Linked DNA regions of Oryctolagus cuniculus. The protein of the gene in region 2 purifies or fractionates together with the protein of the main gene of each other region. This does not show direct contact. Links are inferred from orthologs where the notes say so. Each region holds a gene or a part of one and is shown on either strand. Other genes may lie near its edges.

Region 1 (5,494 bases), on a different chromosome or scaffold from region 2:
TGGACACGCAAAGGTGGTCCTTCATCAGCTCTGAGAACGCTACCAGTTGGGACTGGCATCACCACACCCCTCCTGTGACTTTTTTCCGTTACCTATCCCTGCACTGTCCATCAGCTCAAAGGCAGTGTCCACACCTGAGACCGAACGCTTTCTCTGACGCGGCTTCTGGAGCGCAGGTGAAGCCGCCTCTCCTCCCTCCCCACCCTGAGCAGCAGCTGTCAACATTACACATCCGATGAGCAAGAGCAGATCAGACTGACCCACGCGGTTTTAAAAAGTGACTTTCCCGTGTCATGGTTGTCATGAGAAGGTGAAGAAAACGACCACGGCAGACAGGCTAAGGGAATAAGAACACTCAGAGCCAGAGTGGAAAAGAAGTGGATCAAGTCCACGTGGAATTTCAACTGCTCATCAACTGCTCACATTCCTACAGACGGACGTGCAGCACTGCGTTTTCCAGAGAGAACGCCCCTTTGGGATAACGGACTTGTCTCTCCTCCTGAGGTGGCGTCACCTTACCTCTGTCGGCTGCACAGGACACCCAGCAGGGCTTCCTAAGCACTTTTCCATCGTCCTTTGGCATGAGTGATCTTCCATGAAAACTTGCTACCCTGTGGCCAAACACGCAGGTAGTCACAGGCTGGGTGTAGACACGCAATGCTGGCAATCCGGGCTGAGAATCAAGAACTAGACGGATGCGCATTACCCCAGGTCTGCCAAGCCCACTCCCCACCCGGGGGGGCTCTCCTCCATTAGCCTAAGGCAAATCCTCAGGGGAGAACACCTGGCGGAGAGAACACGCAACTGGGCTGGTTGCGAAAAGGGCTCCCGTGTGAGTTCAAGACCCTCAAAGCAGTTTGAAAGAAGCAGGCAACGGATGTGTGAACTGAACGCAAACTCGGGAGGAGAGGGAACAGCAACGACAGAAAAATATCCACACAGACACACGCACGCACGAGCCATGTCCTGGAAATACAGGAATGCAGTGGGACAGATGAAACTTATAACTTAAGGCTGGATAAAATATGCACACACACACACGCAGACAGAATCCAAGTCTGTCATATTTAGAAAATGGAAATCAAACCATCCCCCCAACCCCTCCCCACAACAAAGCCCACAATTTAAAACTTCATACATGCAATTCCTTTTCTGTTATTGCAAATAAAATAATGCCATTGAAGTAAAATAAAACCAAAACCAGAGGACAACTGATGAAAAATCTTCAGAATCCAGGAAAAAATGAACTGAAGGTGGTTTGTGGGTGCTTGATTTTTCTTTTTTCTTTTCTCTTTTTTTTTTATAAGTGTTTTATCAGACAGGCAGTCTTAGATTTATATACAAAAGTAAAACTGAAAATATAGTTTTGTTCTCTGTACATTTCTTTTAATTTTTTCCCTAAAAAAAGGAAAAAAACACGCTTGTGTACTTTTCTAAACAGAATAAGGTAAAACAGCACAAAGTTCTCTTCTTTCTGCCGAGTTCATTGACTCTGGGCCGGGGGCTCAGTCCAAGGAGATTATGTCTGGGATGATGCCGAAGATGGACGCCGTGTCCGTGCCGCTCCTGCTGGCCACCGGGTGGCTGTGGCTCTCCCGCAGGCTGTTGGAGGACACGAGGCTGCTGTTACTGCCACTGCTGCTCCCGTTGGTGGTCGGCAATGAGGTGCTGCCTCCTGCACTCAGCTGATCGAGAAACATCTGCGAGGAGGTATACGGGAAAAACCGCGAGGAGTGCAGGAGGTCCTGATCGTCCGAGACGGCGGCGGCGGCGGCGGCCAGCAGCGAGGTGTTGTAATGCTGGGGGGGGGGGCAAGGGCCGAGACACGTTAATGCTAACGACACAACCAGCCAACCCCTTTTCTGCAGAGTGCACTCCTACTGCTACTGCGTCCTGAGGATCGGTGGTTTCCTAAACGTGTGCAAAACCCAATGGCCTTATGTAATGACTAACTATCTCTGAGACACATCTTTCCATCCGGAACTGGAAAATAGTAATTTTTTGTTTTAATTTGTAAGGCAAGCAATTCTCAAAATTCTACTTGCCAAAGAAGAATATGGCCAGAAGCAGCAGCACAGTCCACCCGCTTTCTCCTAAGGAGTTCCAGTCACACGGCACTCAATGATGGGGCCACGTCCGGGCACCGCGGCAGCAGGCAATGCCTTCGTTACCTGGACCCTGCAGCACGCTCACCCAGAGCTGGGCGGCCGCACCTGCCACCCACCTGCACCACACAGCATGGCCTGTGGCTCCCCTAACACGGCTTCTCCTCCTGTGACTTGTCTACTTTATAAACACTTTAAGTCTTAAAACTTTTTGACTATTTAGTAACACTTAGCTTAAAATACATACTATACAGCTATATAAAGTTTTTTCCTCATATCTTTATTCTATAAGCATTTTTGGACTAAATTTTCAGAAAATATTTTTATTAAAAATGAAAAACACATGAGCGCAGGCTACACTGGGTGAGGATCTCGCCTGTCGCTGTCTTCCGCCCCTGCCTCCTGTCCCGCCGGCAGGCCAGCGGGCCACAGCACACTCGCGCCGCTGTCTCCGCCGTCTGGCCTGCTGACGGAGCCCCGCCCGAGGGCCGCTCTCTGTCCAGGCCGTCTGTCCAGGCGGTCTGCTGTCGGGCTGTCGGTCACCACAGGCTTGCTCACAAGCAGCGGCGCCCGTGAGGATCCTTGTTTAGTTATGGAGCATGTCCCGCTTGGGGCCCATGTTCCACGCTTCTTAGGGAGCGTGTCAGGCTGTGCAGGCCTTCTGCTCAACGTCACTGCAGACCTCTGGGCAGCGCCCTCTCCTCTCGCACTGCCCTTTCCTCTGGCCCCTCTGCACCTCCTCCCTCCTGGACTCCTCAGGAAGCAGCTCCGGCAGCCCCTTGGGTCATCCTCACCCGCCCGGCTCAGCCCCAGCCTGGATGGCTGCTGCCACCTCTGCGTCCTTGGCACATCTTCTGAAGTCACGGATGACTCTCTTGCAGATGCCAACCATGTACTCCTGGGTGACGCCACAGCAGGCCCACGCAAGGTCCGGGGAGTCCTTCCAGGGCTGCACCTGTGTCTACGCAGCTGTGGTAGCCTGGGCAAAGATCTCCCTTGCATAGAGGGAGGGCCTTATGAATCTTCACCCACTGGCTGGATCTGAGTCTGGAGGAAGAAACTGTCCTTTCATCCCGGGACAAACGGCACCACAGAAAAGGCGCTGGGAGCCTTACAACAGTCACCAAAACCCTGAAGGCGTGTTGCCCTCCACCCCGTACTTCTCCAGTGCTCTGGCAAAGCAATTCAGGAGGGCATCTCGGAGGAGGGGCGGGGCCATCCGTGACTTGCTGCTGCTCCTGCAGTGCGTGCAGTGTGTGCTTGCTGACAGGCTCGAAAGCCCTGGCACTCGCACCGTGCCACATCACGCTCGGCTTCACGGCCCGCAAGCCAGACTGTTACCCTAGCCGCGAAACCTGGCACTGGCCTGGCCTCCTCATGGACGAAGTCCTTGCGGGCATCCGTTTCCAGGACAGGGAGGCATCCTCCACAGTGAGGATCAGCTCCGGCAAGGAAGGCCCCTCCGCAGTCAGCCGATTCCATTTCCAACAGCTCTTTCTTCGGCTGCCGTCGCATCAGCACGTGCGGATCCACCGCTCACCTTCACGATGCGTGATGAATGAGGCCTCTCGGGTGTTCACGTCACCCACAGCTGGCAGTGAGCTCAACATCGAAGCTGAGCCTGGCCTCTTTCAACCTTGCAAACTTCCGTTCTGATCAGAGCTTTGGCTACGATCACCATGGTGCCAAGAGGGATGAGCCTGTCACCAACCCAGGTCAGCACAAGTTTCTCCACCCTTGGTGTGGGCCCCTCTGGCCGTCTCACTGGTCCTGCTGCCTTCAGTAAAGCGGCTCCTCCAACAGCTTCCTTTCCTCCACGTCTGTCCATCAAGACAGGAGCTACCTCGCCATGGGACAGGCCTGACTGCTGAGCGACACCGTCATCCATTTTCTTTTTTCTTTTTTTTTAGATTAATTTATTTGAAAGGCAGCGTCACAGAGAGCGAGAGGGAGAGACAAAGAGATCTTCCAGCCTCTGGTTCACTTCCCGAGATGGCCGCAACAGCTGGGGCTGGGCTAGGTAGAAGCCAGGAGCCAGGAGCTTTATCTGGGTCTCCCACGTGGGTGGCAGGAGCCTAAGCACTTGGGCCAGCTTCCCCTGCTTTCCCAGGCCCATTAGCAGGGAGCTGGATAGGAAGTGGAGCAGCCAGGACTCGAACTGATGCCCATATGGGATGCTGGTAACACATGTGGCGGCTTTACCAGCTACACCACAGAGCCAGCCCCCATCACTGATTTTCAACTTTCGTTAATCACCTTATATTTTGTTTCTGGGTCAATCAGTGTGGCTTCTTACTGGGCAGTGTCAGCGAGGGGTTTTCTACATTTAGGGACCTCAGCGAACCAAAGAAATCAGATTAAATCAAGCACGCTCTAGAAGGGCACAATCAGTAGACATGAGAGAGAGGGCTGCTGCCAATGAAGTGTGGCATACTTCTGAAACTCTCCTGTTCATCGGTAGGGTTAGCAGGAGCCGGTCAAAAGTTACCAATGTGGTGTGGTGTAATAGACATAAGCCAGTGAGATGCTTTTGATCACTATCAAGTGTTATGCAGTGAGCATAACTGTACATGCTGTGCTCGCCCGTGACTGGCAACGCTAGGTCTGCTTATCCCCACACCCACGCACGCACAGGAAGGCAGTGTGCTGACGTGACCCAACTGTGATGTCACTGGGCTACAGCAAGTCATCCTCTTGTGAGCCCTCAGCACGGGGATGGTCTACGCCGTGTGGCGTGTGACTGCGTCTCCAGGAATCGTCTCTCCATCCAGCTGCCTGCAGCTGCTCTTCCAGACAGTACTGCGAGCCCACAGACGGATGCAGGCTCTACTGAGGCCAGGGCTCTCATCCACACTCCCAGACCTAACTATAACAGGCATGGGTCACTCTGAATTTTCCAGAGAAATGTATTCTGCCTCCTGGATAACATATTAGACTTTTAAATATTTTGAATGTACAAGTAAAATAATGGTAACTTTTTTCATGTAACATACCTGATTGTCTCCTGATAAGAAAGGGAAGAAATCTAATCCTATGGGAGAGAAAAATTATTTTAGTTTTGGAAAAAACAAAAACAAAAAAACATAGTAAAACCCCTTTCCAAATGCCCAGTACTTGGAAAACAAACATAAATCCTAACTCCTCTGCCTTTTGGAATCTGACTTCAAGCTGAGTGTCCTGCGCCTCTCCCTCCTCTGAATGCTGAGGGCGCGGCGCAAGCAGAGACGCCGCCTCCCCGCACCTCTGTCTGAGCAGCTGGGGACCGGCTGCTGGCCGCGCACCGGCCCGCTCTCCTCCATTCCTCTCATTCCCCCTCACAGGCACCTCGTGAGGCATCTGATCATTTCTGGCCTCATTTTGCAGAGGAGAAAGTTTGAAGTTCCAAGAGT
Region 2 (5,494 bases):
CCAGATCTATCATTTTTGCACAGGAGACAGAAGTGGTCCAAATCCATGTGCAGCCTCTGGCCTCAGAATCAGCCCTTAAGGCATGCGGATCCGGCTGAAAAGCCCATGAGAGTATTTCAGGCATGGAAAGCCAAGACACTCTGGCAAAAAAAACAAAAACAAACAAACAAAAAACACAAAACCTAAATGAAAGATCTCTGTGAGTCAGATCCCAGTGGAAAGTACAGGTCTTCAAAGAAGGAGGTACCTTTCTCTGAAGGGAGGAGAGAACCTCCACTTTGACTATGACCTTGTCTAAACAAGATAAGAGTCGGAGAACTCAGAGGGCTTCCATAGCCTTGGAAACTCATGACTGGAGCATAGGGAGATTACTGATGCCATAAATGGGAGTGTCAATTTGTAAAGTCAACAACAGGCATCACTGTGCACTTACTCCTCATGTAGGATCTCTGTCCTTAATGTACTGTACATTGAGATTTAATGCTATAACGAGTACTCAAACAATATATTTCACTTTGTGTTTCTATGGGGGTGCAAACTGTTGAAATCTTTACTTAATGTGTACTAAACTGATCTTCTGTAAAAAAAAAAAGAAATTATCAATTCCCAACTTGACTGTCACTGGGATTAAACATGACAATAGGTCTGCTCTGATTTCATCATCATTTAAAAAATCATCTATTATTTTTCACTTTATGTTTCTGTGTGGGAGCAAACTGTTGAAATCTTTACTTAATGTATGCTAAACTGATCTTCTGTATATAAAGAGAATCAAAAATGAAGCTTGATGTGAATTGTAGGGGAGAGGGAGTGGGAAAGGGGAGGGTTGCGGGTGGGAGGGACGTTATGGGGGGGAAGCCATTGTAATCCATAAGCTGTACTTTGGAAATTTATATTCATTAAATAAAAGTTAAAAAAAAAAATCCATGTGCAGCACAGGCTGGATTGGGAACATGGTGGCAGCAGATCTTGGGACTAGAGAGGAAAGTGTCAGCCCCAAATTTGGGGTTGGGCCAGGAAATTGGAGGATGGTTATGCCACTCTGCTTTGGTAACAGGTTTTGAGGGAGATAAGATCGAGCCTGGGTTTGTTCATGTGAATTTATTGCTTCCCCTGCTCTGTGCCAGGTGTGGTGGGTGTACAAGCTCACCCAGCCTCTAGAACCAGCGTGTTGATAGGGAATAAGCTGCCAGGGTTCACTTGGCTAGTAAGAGGTTGCAGCCTCTACCGGGGGCCAGGCCCACATATTTGCTTTAGGGATATCCTTGGTAGACACCTAGCAGGCAGGGAGAGAGCCTCAGGTGTGGAGACTTCTGCTCAGGTAAAATACATCTGGAGCAAAAAATCAAATTGCCACAGCAGGTGTGCAAATGGGGTGGGCCCGGGTCCCTTTCTGCTGGTATTTGTGAGGTGAGTAGCTCTGTCGTCACTTGTGGGGTAGACAAGGCCTGGCGTTAGCACACTCAGGGACCTGTGTGCATCCACACTGATCCATGCCTTTCTGGAAACTGTGCACTCCTTCCCCCAGGCTCGGGCAGGACAAGGTTCACTGGTGTCCACTCTGAATGTTGCTAGCCAAAGGCTGCTATAAATCCTAAATTATATAATGGTCGTGTGAGGCTGTTCATTGTCCTAATGGATTTTAGGACTTCCTTAATCAGGCTTTTGTTGAAGTTTTTCTTCTTTAAGATTGAAGAGTAAAATTGACTTAACAGTTACCCAGAGAAATAAGTGTGACTTTGTCCCTTCGAATTACATTTGATAATGTTTGAGCCTTCAGAAATTATTAGTGAGGTCTAGGATTTCTTTTGTGCCAGCTTTATCGTTTGCTGTAGGCAGAGAACATATGTACTTCTAAGATGTTATAACGAAGATAATTTTACCATATGTGTTGGTTAGTTTTCTATTGCCATGATAAAACAATCAAGGCTCTGTCACTTATAAAGAAAGGAGGTTTATTTAACTCATGGTTTTGAAGGCTGGTAAGTCGAAACAATGTGGTGCCAGCTCCAGTGATGGCCCCTGGCTTGGCACATTTTGGTGGACGGCATCATGGTGGGAGTGCATGCAGCTGGTGCAATCACATGGCAAGACAAAAAGCCAGAGACACTGAAGAGGGAAAAGCCCTGCTGGGTTTTTTTTTTTTTTTTTAACTTAATTTAATTTTTATATTCTCTTGGGGGAACTAGCCAGAGTCCCATGAGAATTGCATCAGTTCCTTCTCAGGGAAGCACCCCTGACCCAATCGCCTTACACTAGGCCCCACTTCTTTTAAGTTCTATATGGTCCCCCAACATCATCATGCTGAGGACCAAGCTGCCAACACGCAGGAAACCCCAGGGGACACACTGGAACCATGGAGCAGAAAATGAGAGTGAAAAGTTCTTGGAGTAAATCACACATGTACTGTAATTTTGCTGGGGAACGATTTTTGGAGAGCTTTTGCAGTGATCATAAAGCAAAACTAAATAAAGTGTTGCATTTTTTGTTTGCTAAAAAGGCAGATTCATTTAAAATGTTTATTTTACTTACCAGCTATTTATTTATTTATATTTTTTACAATTTGCTTATCTGAAACTCAGACATAGAAAAAGATTCTCTATCCACTGATTCACTCCCCACATGCCTGCAGCCGTCAGTGCTGGGCCTAGCTGAAACCAGGAGCCTGAAACACAGTGCAGGTCTCCCGCACGAGGGGCAGGGTCACCGTCTGCTGCCTTCCAGGGCGCACATTTGTAGGAAGCTGGGGCTCCAATCCAGACGCTCCGGTGTGGGGTGCGGGTGTCCCAAGGACTGTCTTAACTGTTGTACCAAATGCCCGCCCCGGCTCATTTTAAAGTCTTTATGAGTACTTCGTATGTGTGCTCTGGAGATAAAACAGGGGACAAAGTCCTCTTCCCCCTAAAATCTTTTCCTTCATGTGGTCAAATCAGACCATAATCAAAATAATAAAGTACCTGGTGGGTCAGTGTATGCTGTGGAGGGTGGTTTCTTAGGCAGGAGGCGGTTGTGATGTAAATACGGTGGAGAGGGAAAGCTGTGTGTTGACATTTGAGCAAAGATCGGGAGATGTGTTTCCTGGAGAAGGAGAAAATGTTGATCCTCAAACTCAATTAAAAAAACGTGGTTTAGAATATAGGCATTTAAATGATATATTTCAGAGACAGATTGTGTATGGGGTTAAGATGTGTACAAGAGCGTGAAGAAAGAAGGCTTTCTTTAGAGCTGCAGTCTTCCGTCTGTGACACGTTGCTCTCTTCCTGCAGGATGTCTCAGTGGTATGAGCTTCAGCAGCTCGACTCTAAATTCCTGGAGCAGGTTCACCAGCTCTATGATGACAGTTTTCCCATGGAAATTCGACAGTACCTGGCACAGTGGCTAGAAAATCAGGACTGGTAAGGAGAACTCACTAGACAGGAACACGTCTATCTACACTCCAGAAGTACTTGGTGCAAGACGTTCCTAGTCATCAGGGAAATGCAGATCCAAGCCACAGTGGGATACTGCCTCCCTCCGGTTACCATAGCTATGATCAAAAAGACAAAGACAGCAAATGCTCATGGGGATGTGGAGAAAGGGAATCCTTGCACCATTGGTGGGAATGTAAATTAGCATGGCCATTATGGAAAACAGTATGGAGATTCCCCAAAAATCAAAAATAGAACCATAATATGATTCCACTACTAGGAATATATATCTAATTGAAAATGAAGTTAGTCTGCTGAAGAGATACCTGCAGTCTCATGTTTTATTGCAGCATAACTCACAATAGTGGAAACTTCTCAACTGAAGGATGGATAAAGAAAATGTGTCTAAACACGATGGAATACTATTCAGCCGTAGAAAGGAATGAAGTCTGTCATTTACAATAACCCAGATGGAACTAGGGGACAGTGATATTAAATGAAAGAATCCAGACACAAATACCATGATCTTGCTCATATGTGTCATCTAAAACTGATCTCATGGAAGTTGAGAATAGGATGGTGGTTACCAGAGACTGGCCAACAGATACTAAGTGTCAGTTAGGTAGGAGTAATAAATCCTGGTGTTCTGTTGCATAATGGGATGATTATAGGTAATAATGTACTGTGAACTCTAATAACAAAAAACCTAGAAGAAAAGATTTTGAATGTTTTGCCATGGAGAGGTGATAAATGTGTGAGGAGATGGATATACTTGATTGTGAGCATTACACAATGAATGCACACACTGAAATATTACTTGGTACACCATAACTACAACTACATACAATTTTATTTATCACTTAAATATATATATATAAAAATTTTAAAAATGTATTTGTTTATTAAATGAGTTGGAGCTAAATTTACACAAAGATAAATCTCATCAATGACCAGAGATTCCATCTGTCACATAAAAGTTTAAAAACTGGGGTTTGTCTCTACAAAACTAAATACACTATCCATTAAGCATTTTTGTCAAATTTAATTGTGATAGGTACTCCTAACTGCTTTGGGCAATTTAGAAAACTCTGACATCAGTTATTTTCCAACTCAGGATCCAGGCTATGGAAAGTAATTTAAAGAAATGATTAAGGCTGAATTATGGTAAATATTAATTAGAGATACCAAGAAGGCTAGTGAAAAAGGAAATGTGTTTTAAGAGAGGTAGTAGGCATTCTATTTTAAAATGTACTATTTGCTGACTGCGAAAGGTGTAAACATGCTGAAAGTATTTGACATAGACAATGAAGATTCTGGTTTCTTGTTTTGTTTTTCCTTTGGAGCTGTTCACCATGAACAGTTTCCTGCCCAGTCTCTTCAAGTTCTAGAATTTTTCACTTTAATTGCATGTACAGGAAAACCGTTTAAGTTGCTGCTACAAGGAAGAAAGTGCCATCTAAAAAATCATTTTCCGGTCATTGCCATAAAGAAAGCAGTGTTTGTGTTGTCTGCCTTAAGTAGCATCTGGAATGAAACACGGACATTTTCAATCCCCAGGGAGCACGCCGCCAATGATGTTTCGTTTGCCACCATCCTCTTCCATGACCTGCTCTCGCAGCTGGACGATCAGTACAGTCGCTTCTCTCTGGAGAACAATTTTCTGTTGCAGCATAACATAAGGAAAAGCAAGCGGAACCTTCAGGTACGCCCTCGTCTTTCTTGAGCTGCAGTCTCCGGGTTTTCCCCGTTCAGCAAGTACTAATGAGCACACACTCAGTGGTGTGTAGAGCAGTCATGGAGATGGTCCATTTTCATAGCGTTGAGCAAAGTACCAGTTTGTTTTATAAACATAAAGATTTTCAGGCTTAAAATATTTCATCTGTTAGGTGTCAGTCCTGAGAGAACGTGATGCGACCCCTGCTTTACTGGAGCGTTAAAGTGATGGAAAGGAGCGGTGCGCTCAGAGCTGTGAGCTGCAGTAACACGTGCAAGCTCCCAGCAGCAGTGGTGCTCAGGCTAAGTCCTCGGTGTACAGATGAGGACTTAGTTCACAAAGGAGTGACTTCTGGGAACTGGACTCCACTTTG

What was found. Proteins that work in one complex are often made in the same cells at the same time.
Region 1: the proteins of STAT1 (region 2) and PIAS1 purify together in Homo sapiens (affinity purification with western blotting; 5 studies listed by BioGRID). This does not show direct contact. The link is inferred for Oryctolagus cuniculus from reciprocal best matches to the Homo sapiens genes STAT1 and PIAS1.

The regions. Positions count from the first base shown.
Region 1 is NC_091443.1:90,958,509-90,964,002, reverse strand, and holds part of PIAS1 (E3 SUMO-protein ligase PIAS1), read right to left. Parts: intron 5,137-5,494; coding exon 5,099-5,136; intron 1,800-5,098; coding exon 1,506-1,799; 3' UTR 1-1,505. UniProt on the Homo sapiens protein: Functions as an E3-type small ubiquitin-like modifier (SUMO) ligase, stabilizing the interaction between UBE2I and the substrate, and as a SUMO-tethering factor. Catalyzes sumoylation of various proteins, such as CEBPB, MRE11, MTA1, PTK2 and PML.
Region 2 is NC_091434.1:49,297,017-49,302,510, forward strand, and holds part of STAT1 (signal transducer and activator of transcription 1-alpha/beta), read left to right. Parts: intron 1-3,266; 5' UTR 3,267-3,267; coding exon 3,268-3,395; intron 3,396-4,964; coding exon 4,965-5,109; intron 5,110-5,494. UniProt on the Homo sapiens protein: Signal transducer and transcription activator that mediates cellular responses to interferons (IFNs), cytokine KITLG/SCF and other cytokines and other growth factors.